Linked DNA regions of Macaca mulatta. The protein of the gene in region 1 interacts with the protein of each later gene in a pairwise test. Links are inferred from orthologs where the notes say so. Each region holds a gene or a part of one and is shown on either strand. Other genes may lie near its edges. The genes, in order: TMPO and LMNB2.

Region 1 (4,345 bases):
AAACAAAAACAAAGAAAAAAAGATAAAAAAACTAGCCGGGCATAGTGGCGTATGCCCCATTGCCCTTGCTACTCAGGGAAGCTGAGGCAGGAGGCTCTCATGAGCCAAGGAGCTTGAGGCTGCAGTAAGCTATGATCACACTCCTGCACTCTGGTGTGGGTGACAGAGCGAGATCCTGCCTAAAAATAATAACCAGTAATTATATTATAAACATACAACCAAAAACTTCACGGTTTAATACATTTGCACAGAGGACCGATAAAGGGTTCTATAGAACAACTAGGTTTTTTAATAAAGTGTGCGGATTTGAATATTTCATTTTCAAACAACTGTTTTTTTTTTTTTTTTGAGACGGAGTCTCGCTCTGTCCCCCAGGCTGGACTGCGATGGCGTGATCTCGGTTCACTGCAACCTCCGCCTCCCGGGTTCAAGCGATTCTCCTGCCTCGGCCCCTGCCACCAGGCCCGGCTAATTTTTGTATTTTTTTTTCTTTAGTAGTTTCACCATGTGGGCCAGACTGGTCTAGAACTCCTGACCTCGGGTGATCCACCCGCCTGTACCTCCCAAAGTGCTGGGATTACAGGAGTGAGCCTCCGCGCCCGGCCTCAACCAACGTCTACTGAAAGAGTTTAAATACTACCTTCTTTTTCAGAACAGGGGAACATAATGGGTAAAAGGGCACACTTTACTTCAAAAGTAAATTTGTTTATTAATAAATTAAAGTAGCTTTCCACAAAACAAGACGTTGAAACAATAAGGTGTGATAGGTCTTTTATTTATTGTACAATTATTTTGCACTACTATGTGTCACACACCGGACTTAAGACGTTTGTTAAGACGTTCAACTTCTCTAAAACTTAGGATAAGATTTTCAATTAAATTTACCTGTGTCTATTACATTTGTCTTTCATTTTTGCCTGAGTAGCTGGGAAAACACATTAGACAGGTTCCTTAAAAACTAAAGTAAACTTTGAAGGAAGGAGTAATTTCGGTTTACACTAGTGATAACTCGCAACAACCCCAAACACCACATTCACTGTCTCTTACAAGGCATTTTATGTTACACCAATTACTAGTTTTAGCTTCATCCTACTACGACTTGAAGCCTGGTAACTCGGCAGGCATAAGCAAACACACAAAAAGCATATTAAAATCCACAGGAAAAAAAGCAAACTATTCTCAAACAAAACATGCTTTGCTGGAGCCGATTTGAGATTTAACCAGGATCAGACATTCCAAATTGCAATACTGTTGCACCAGAATGTCATGCAATAAATTTTTCCTGAATCCTCTTTCCTTTCCTCAAGCAAAATTTACCAGTAAGGGAGAAAAACGCAATCCAAACTGTGAGTAATTTTCAAATATTTGTTTATAGGGCCGGGTCCGGTGGCTCACGCCTGTTATCCCAGAACTTGGGAGGCCGAGGTGAGTGGACCACCTGAGGTCAGGAGTTCGAGACCGGCCTAACCAACATGGAGAAACCCGGTTTCTACTAAAATACAAAAATTACCCGGGCGTGGCGACGCATGCCGGTAATCCTAGCTACTCGGGAGGCTGAGGCAGGAGAATCGCTTGAACCCGGGAGGCGGAAGTGGCAGTGAGCCGACATCACGCCATTGCACGCCAGCCTGGGCAACAGGAGCGAAACTCCATCTCAAAAATAAATAAATAAATATTTAAAAATTATAATAGGCGCTTTAAAATGTAGTTTAAACTGTTCCTTTCAATTCTGCGTGAAGCCGTCCCGCCAAAAGATGTCCTGTTGGTGGGAAAAATTAAACTAGAAAACATAAACGGTTCAAAAAGCCCTCCATACGCAAAAGTATAAAAAGGCGGGAATTTCCTTAATTCAAATTTTGGTTAGAAATTAGTGTGTCATCAGTTGCCCTCCAGGGAGCGCTGTGAGACTCTGCTGCGAGTCATTTCAGTTAATAAAGCGGGAAAACGCTCGAACTTAACCTATAGCATTTTGGGGCCACCCCTCCAGAGCTTTCGAAAGGCCACGGAAGTCCCCGTCTAAACGCCCGCTGCCGGCAGCTGGTGGTCCAGGGAAGCCGCGTCGCCCGCGTGCAAAACAACCGCCACCAACGCAACTCCACACCTCCCAGACACACACGTCAAAGAACGCGAATCCCGGTGCCCCAACTTCTGGCCTCTCCGCTCCAGCGCCTGCAGCCCCGCGGGGAAGGGGCAACGCGAGGGGGCGCAGGGACAGCCCCGCACCTGGGAGGCCCAAGGGGGCGCCCGGGAGGGAGGGGCTGCAAACGGCGGCGAGCGCGCGCGGCAACCGCCAAACGCCCGCCTTTGTGGCCCCGGCCCCGCGTCCTTACCCTGCCGACGGCTGCTCGGCTCCGGCCCGCGGCGGCGGCCACAGAGCCGAGAATCGGCGTGGGCTCGCGTTCCTCGTCACTGGAGAAGTCCGGGGGCCCCTTGCTGTTGGCGCCGGCGGCGAGCGGCGGCCGGTTGCGCGCCGTGAGGTGCTGCAGGTAGAGCTGGACGTACACGTCTTTGCGCTGCTCCCCAGCCGGCAGCGTCACATTGTTGGCGACCAACTCACTCTTCAACTTGTCCTTCGTCAGGACCGAGGGGTCTTCCAGGAAGTCCGGCATCTCGGGGATCTGCGAAGCCCCCTCCCCGCAGCCTTCGCTGCCGCCGCTCACGCCGGCGCGCTCGCTCCTGGCCGGGGGCCGCGCTGCCGCCTCCGAGCCTCACGGCTCCTGCCCAGTAGGAGCGCTGCGGAGCGGAGCAAAAACTCGCGGACACAAAGCCAAGCCAGACCCGGACACAAAAGACCCCAGAGCCGAACTACGGACGAAGTGCAGCCAAGCTGGAAGCCCGCACCAACCCCAGCCTACACACTACAGGCAGGAGGCGAGCAGCTTGCTTCGCCCACGCCCCAAGAACGCGCGGCGCCATTGGCGGGCGACGGGAGGAAGCGCGGCGGTGATTGGCGGGACGGCCCGCGCGGGTTCCATTAGCCGCCGCGCTGAGCGAGAGGAGGTAGAAACGCAGTTTAAAAGGCGCTGGGGCGGGAGCCGAGGCGCCCGGCCCGCTTCTGTTTTCATTTTCTCCACCCTTCCCCTTAGACGCCGATAAGGGACAGGTCGTACTGCTTTTGTGCGCCGTTTCCTCTCCCTCCCCCAGCTTGAGAAGCAGCTTTCGTCTCTGGGGTCGATCGCCTACGAACCGGCCGAATTCCACGCCGGCTGTGAGGACCCTTGTCTGGGCCTTTCTTCCTCCCGGGACACTGAAGCACCGAAGAGTAGCCGCAGCCTTGCCTTCCCCAAACGCTAGCCATGAAGGGGAAGAAAAGAAGCGAGACTTGTCTGCAGGCACTCATATTCCTTGATTTGATTTACTTTGGGAGGGGGAGGGCAGGGAGTTACCCCTCTGTCTACTCGCGAACGCTTCTTTTGTTCCAGAAACCCGGGAGAAGCCAGACCTCTACCATCGGGCACTTTACCCTTGAATTTGTGACAAAAGTGTACTATACCGTTCACTTCTTAGTCTCGTAGTTGGGGCATGTCTAAATTGTTTAATTTGAACAGTGCGTTGAGACTCAAGACAAATTCGCGCTTGCATTTTTGTTGAAACCGATCCTGGCTTTGGATCCCACTAACGTTTGATAACAAAACGAAGCCGAACCCTTGGGAACCCCCTCAATGGTCAATTTAAAATAGCAGATGTTGCGTAATCCTAAAGGAAGCCTAGTGACCTATAATTAGGCCGAGAACCCTAATCAAACCCGTATTACTAATCCAAATTAAAACCTGGTAGTGACTGCAATTAAAATGTTTGCCTGAAAATTAGTATCACTGATGACAAATATTTGTATTTCTGATGAATATGTATGATTAAAGATTCTAGAAAAGAAAGGAGACCTTGGATCAAGAATGTGTTAATAATTTCCCCAGAATCTGAGCTCCAAACTATATTTTAGAAACTGATTACATTTTTTTTGGTTTGCCTGCTTTCTACACTGTTAGGTTAGAATATATTTAAAACAAACGCTTTCACTAAAAATGTTTCCTATGATTTAAGCGACTTACTTTTGTTCAAATTGAGGAGATACTTCTTTTAGTGATATTTTCCTAGAGGTAACTAGTTTATAAAAATCTCAGTATCCATATATAAGCAATGGTATTAAGCTCAATAATGCAAATTAAAAATCAGGTTTTAATTAGCAAGTTGTTAGGTAGATTTTTATGATCCCTTGTAAAAGTTACTTGGTTTTTTGCCCCTACGGCTTCCCTGGACACATAGGCAAATGTTTTTATCTTCAGAAGGGGAACTGAGCTGAGAGGCAAAGGACCATGATTTTGCAATGACTGGTAACCCAGTACGT
Region 2 (4,330 bases), on another chromosome or scaffold:
CTAAGATCACACCACTGCACTCCAGCCTGGACGACAGAGCGAGACTCCAACTCAAAAAAAAAAAAAGGAAAAAAAAAAACAGCAGGGGACCCCACCAAGCACTGATCTTCCTTCTACCTCCCTGAAGGCACCAGCTACATTCTTTCAGGTTCCCTGTCCCCAGGGCACTGTGACAGCAGAACCCACAGGGAGCCACTAAACAAAAGCTAACCTGCTGTGGCCCCACACACAAGAGCTGAGTATTATAATTATGCCCATTCCAAAGGCGAGGGCACTGAGACTCAGAGAGGGTAAGGGACTAGCCCAAGGTCACACAGAGGGTAAGTGGCTCCCAGAAACGACCTGACCCCCTCAACAAGCAGCTTTTCTCCCAGAAGCCCACCAGGTCCTCTGATCTCCAGATGGGCGAGTGGGGGCTGGGAGCTGCAAATCCCGACTTCAGCACCTGGCTCTCCCAACAGGATGCTGGGACCTGGGGACCCCAGGACCCCCAACCCATGGCAGGAATCAAGTGGGTGCTCCTGCCTGCCCACCGTTCTGGAGTCCTGTCCTTGAATTGGGCATGGCCAGCGGGAGGGACAAACAGCCTCCCCAGGGTTAGGTTGGGGAGCAGGACAGATGGCACCCAGACCCCAAGACACCCCGACCTCACGCCCCCTTGACGGGCAGACTTTCCAGCCCTTTCTCCTTCAGTCCGCACTGAAGCCTCGGGGTCCATTCAGAACCTCAACACTTTCCTCTGGACCCAAGACCCCAGCTCTCCCGCTTCCTTCATATTCCCTTGGGGACAGAACCTGCCAGGCCACCAATGACCCCAGGGCACAGATAAGGGCCTGCGAAATTTCCCATGGGACTCCAAGGTATCAGAACCTCTCCCTTGGCCCCCTATCCCCCACCCCCCGCCCGGGTGAGAGATGAGGGGCCTAATTCCCACCCCAGTCACCAATCTCTCCTGGATTCATCAGGGAACTCACTAAAGCTCCAGGGAGAACTGAGACCACGTGACTCACCCCAGAGACTCCAGGAAGACCCCCCCACACACCCCATCATGGGCCTCCTCAGAGGGCCTGGGCCCCCCAGTCTCTTCAGAGCCCAGAGACCACCCCCATTCCCCCCCAGATGCCCCAACACCCAGCTTCATCCCCAGAGACTCCCACTCACACCCCCTCAGTTGGCGGGGGTCCACCAAGTCTCCTTGGAATCCTCTGAGGGATGAGGCACATGGTGGGCTGCAGCCCAATACTCAGGGAGCCCCCAAATCCCCAGGACCTCTCTTTGGTGGGGAGCCCTAGTCTGCAACCCTCATGGCCCCAGAACACACCTCTCACAGAAGGGTCCCCGGAGCTAGCTGGAGGCGCCTCTGCAGCCTTCACTCAGGACACCGAAGATCTCCTGGGACCCCCTCCATAGGTGGGGCATTCCTGGTCTGCACTTCTCCCTCAATGCCCTGGAAACTCCTGGGGGCCCCTGAGAGAATGGGCCATTCCCATCTGCACCCCTCCCATGGGGTCCCCCAAGATCTAGGAAACTGCGGTGAGCAGGCTCTGCCCAGGCGGCACCCCTCACTCAGGGTCTCCTCCTGGAGATCCCCGAGGCCGGGTCGTCCCCACTCCTGCTCAGGGTCCTCCGTGATCGTGTACCCCGCGGTGGGCTGGGCCTGGCCGAGCTGCACCCCTCACTTAAGGACCCCTCGAAACCCCCTGGAGACCCCCAAGCAGGGACCTGTCCCGGTCTGCACCCCTCCCCAGGGTCCCCGCGATGGCGCACCCCGCGGTGGGCAGGGCCTGCACCCTTCATTCAGGAGCCCCCCAAACCCCCTGGAGACCCCGAGCCGGGAGTAGTTCAGAGTCCCCGCGATCGCGCGCCCCGCGGTGGGCGGGGCCTGGCCGAGTAGCACCCTTCGCTCAGGAGGCACTCTCCGAAACGCGTCGGAGATCCCCGAGGCCGGACTGTCCCCGTCCGCATCCCAGCTCAGGGTTCCCCGCGATTGGGAGCCCCGCGGTGGGCTGGGCCTAGCCGAGCAGCACCCCTCACTCAGGAGCCCCCAAACCTCCTGGAGACCCCTGAGCCAGAGCCTGTCCCCGTCTGCACCCCCGCCCAGGGTCCCCGCGATCACGCACCCCGCGGTGGGCGGGGCCTGGACGAACTGGACCGCTCACTCTGGGGCCCCTCGAAACCCCCCGGACACCCCCGAGAGCCGGGCCCGTTCCTGTCTGCACCCAGGGTCCCAGCGATCGCACACCCCGAGGTGGGAGGGGCCTGGCCGAGCTGCACCCCTCACTCAGGGGCCCCCCGAAAACCCGCGGAAACCTCCGAAGCCGGGGCCCGTCCCCGTCTGCACCCCCGCCCCGGGTCCCCGAGATCGCGCGCCCCGCGGTGGGCGGGGCCTGCCGGCTGCACCCCCGCCCGACCCCTAAGCCCCGGCGCCCACCTCGCGCGTGGTCACCTCCTCCTTCTCTGAGATCTTGAGCAGGAGCCGGTCGTTCTCCAGCTCCAGCGCGCGGACGCGGTCGATGTAGTGAGCCAGGCGGTCGTTGAGCTCGCGCAGCTCCTCCTTCTCCTGCAGCCGCGACAGGCGCGTGGGCGACAGCGGCGTGGCTGGTCCGCCCGCGCGGCCGGGCAGCGGCGTGGCCATGGTGGCGGCGGCTCGCGGCCTGCGCTGCTCGCGACGGCGGCCCGGGCTCGGCGGGCTCATTCAATCCGCGCCGCCGGCTGCAAGATGGCGCCGCGCCGCGCCGCGCCCGCCGCCCGCCGCCGCGGGGCAGCCTGGGACTGGTAGTCCGGCCACCAGGCGCGCGCGGGGCACGCCGGAAGTTGAAGTCTCTGTCCAGCTCCCGCTTCGCAGAGGCGCTGACTCCAGAGACAGACCGCCTGGCTGCAAACTCCCAGCTCCGCCACGAGGAAACAGCATTGTTTCTTTTTAGTGCCTGTTTCCACACTTAGAGAACCTCAAAACGTGCTCAAAGAACCAGACACAAAAGGCCCTATAGGGCCGGGCGTGGTGGCTCACGCCTGTAATCCCAGCACTTTGGGAGGCCAAGGCCGGTGGATCACTTGAGGTCAGGAGTTCGAGAACAGCCTGGGCCACATAGGGAGGCCCCACCATCTCTACTATGGAGGCGCATGCCTGTAATCCTAGCTACTGGGGAGGCTGAGGCAGGAGAATCGCTTGAACTTGGGAGGTGGAGGTTGCAGTGAGCCAAGATCGTGGCACTGCACTCCAGCCTGGGCAACAATGGGAAACTGTCTCAAAATAAAAATAAAAAAGCAAAAAAAAAAGCCATATAGTGTACAATACTACTGATATAAAATGTCCAGAAGGCTATCAAGGAGCATGAATTTCAACAAATTGAGTTTAATGATCTCATTGGCTCTTATTAGCAATTCATGAATGGGACAGCATTCAATCTGTGAAATAGGCACTCAAACGAGCTGAGCAGAGAGAATGGGCACTCTACATTATAAGCAGAAAAGGCTGAAGAAAGGAGAAATAATAAATAAAATAAAAGCCAGGCCAGGTATAGTGGTTTGCTCACGCCTGTAATGCCAGCACTTTGGGAGGCCGAGGTGGGAGGATCGTTTGAGCCCAGGAGTTTGAGACTAGCCTGGGCAACATAGCAAGACCCCATTTCTAAAAATAAAAATAAAAAAAAAACAGCCAGGTGCAGTGGCTCACACCTGTATCCCAGCACTTTAGGAGGCCAAGCCGGGCAGATCACGAGGTCAGGAGTTCGAGACCAGCCTGACCAATATGGTGAAACCCTGTCTCTACTAAAAATACAAAAATTAGCCAGGCATGGTGGCACACGCCTGTAGTCTCAGCTACTCGGGAAGCTGAGGCAGGAGAATTGCTTGAACCTGGGAGGCGGAGGTTGCAGGGAGCCGAGATTGCACCACTGCACTCCAGCCTGGCAACAGAGTGAGACTCCATCTTAAAAAAAAAAAAAAAAAAAAAAATTAGCTGGGCGCCTTTAGTCCTAGGTATTTGGGAGGCTAAGGTGGCAGGATTGCTTGAGCAAGAGAGGTCAAGGTTGCAGTGAGCCATGATCACATCACTGCATTCCAGCCTGGGTGACAGAGCGAGACTTTGTCTCAAAAAAAGTAAAAATAAAAATATGAAATAAAAACCAATGGGTTGATTCAAAGTTACTTTTTTCATAGGGTCTGTTTTAACCCCTTCTGTTTTGAGGGGACTCCCCTATCAGGTTAACTGAGCCCCTTTGGCTTGGTGGCTGTGAATGGTTTTTTTTTTTTTTTTGAAAACCTGCACCCTTTAAAGTTCAGTTTGAGGCCAGGTGCGGGCAGCTCTCACCTGCAATCTCAGCACTTT

The links.
Region 2: the proteins of TMPO (region 1) and LMNB2 interact in a two-hybrid assay, tested with the Homo sapiens proteins (2 studies listed by BioGRID, with this or other methods). The link is inferred for Macaca mulatta from reciprocal best matches to the Homo sapiens genes TMPO and LMNB2.

What each region holds. Positions count from the first base shown.
Region 1 is NC_133416.1:105,806,312-105,810,656, reverse strand, and holds the start of TMPO (thymopoietin), read right to left. Parts: upstream 2,888-4,345; 5' UTR 2,610-2,887; coding exon 2,331-2,609; intron 1-2,330. UniProt on the Homo sapiens protein: May help direct the assembly of the nuclear lamina and thereby help maintain the structural organization of the nuclear envelope. Possible receptor for attachment of lamin filaments to the inner nuclear membrane.
Region 2 is NC_133424.1:3,197,264-3,201,593, forward strand, and holds the start of LMNB2 (lamin-B2), read right to left. Parts: upstream 2,810-4,330; 5' UTR 2,696-2,809; coding exon 2,432-2,695; intron 1-2,431. UniProt on the Homo sapiens protein: Lamins are intermediate filament proteins that assemble into a filamentous meshwork, and which constitute the major components of the nuclear lamina, a fibrous layer on the nucleoplasmic side of the inner nuclear membrane.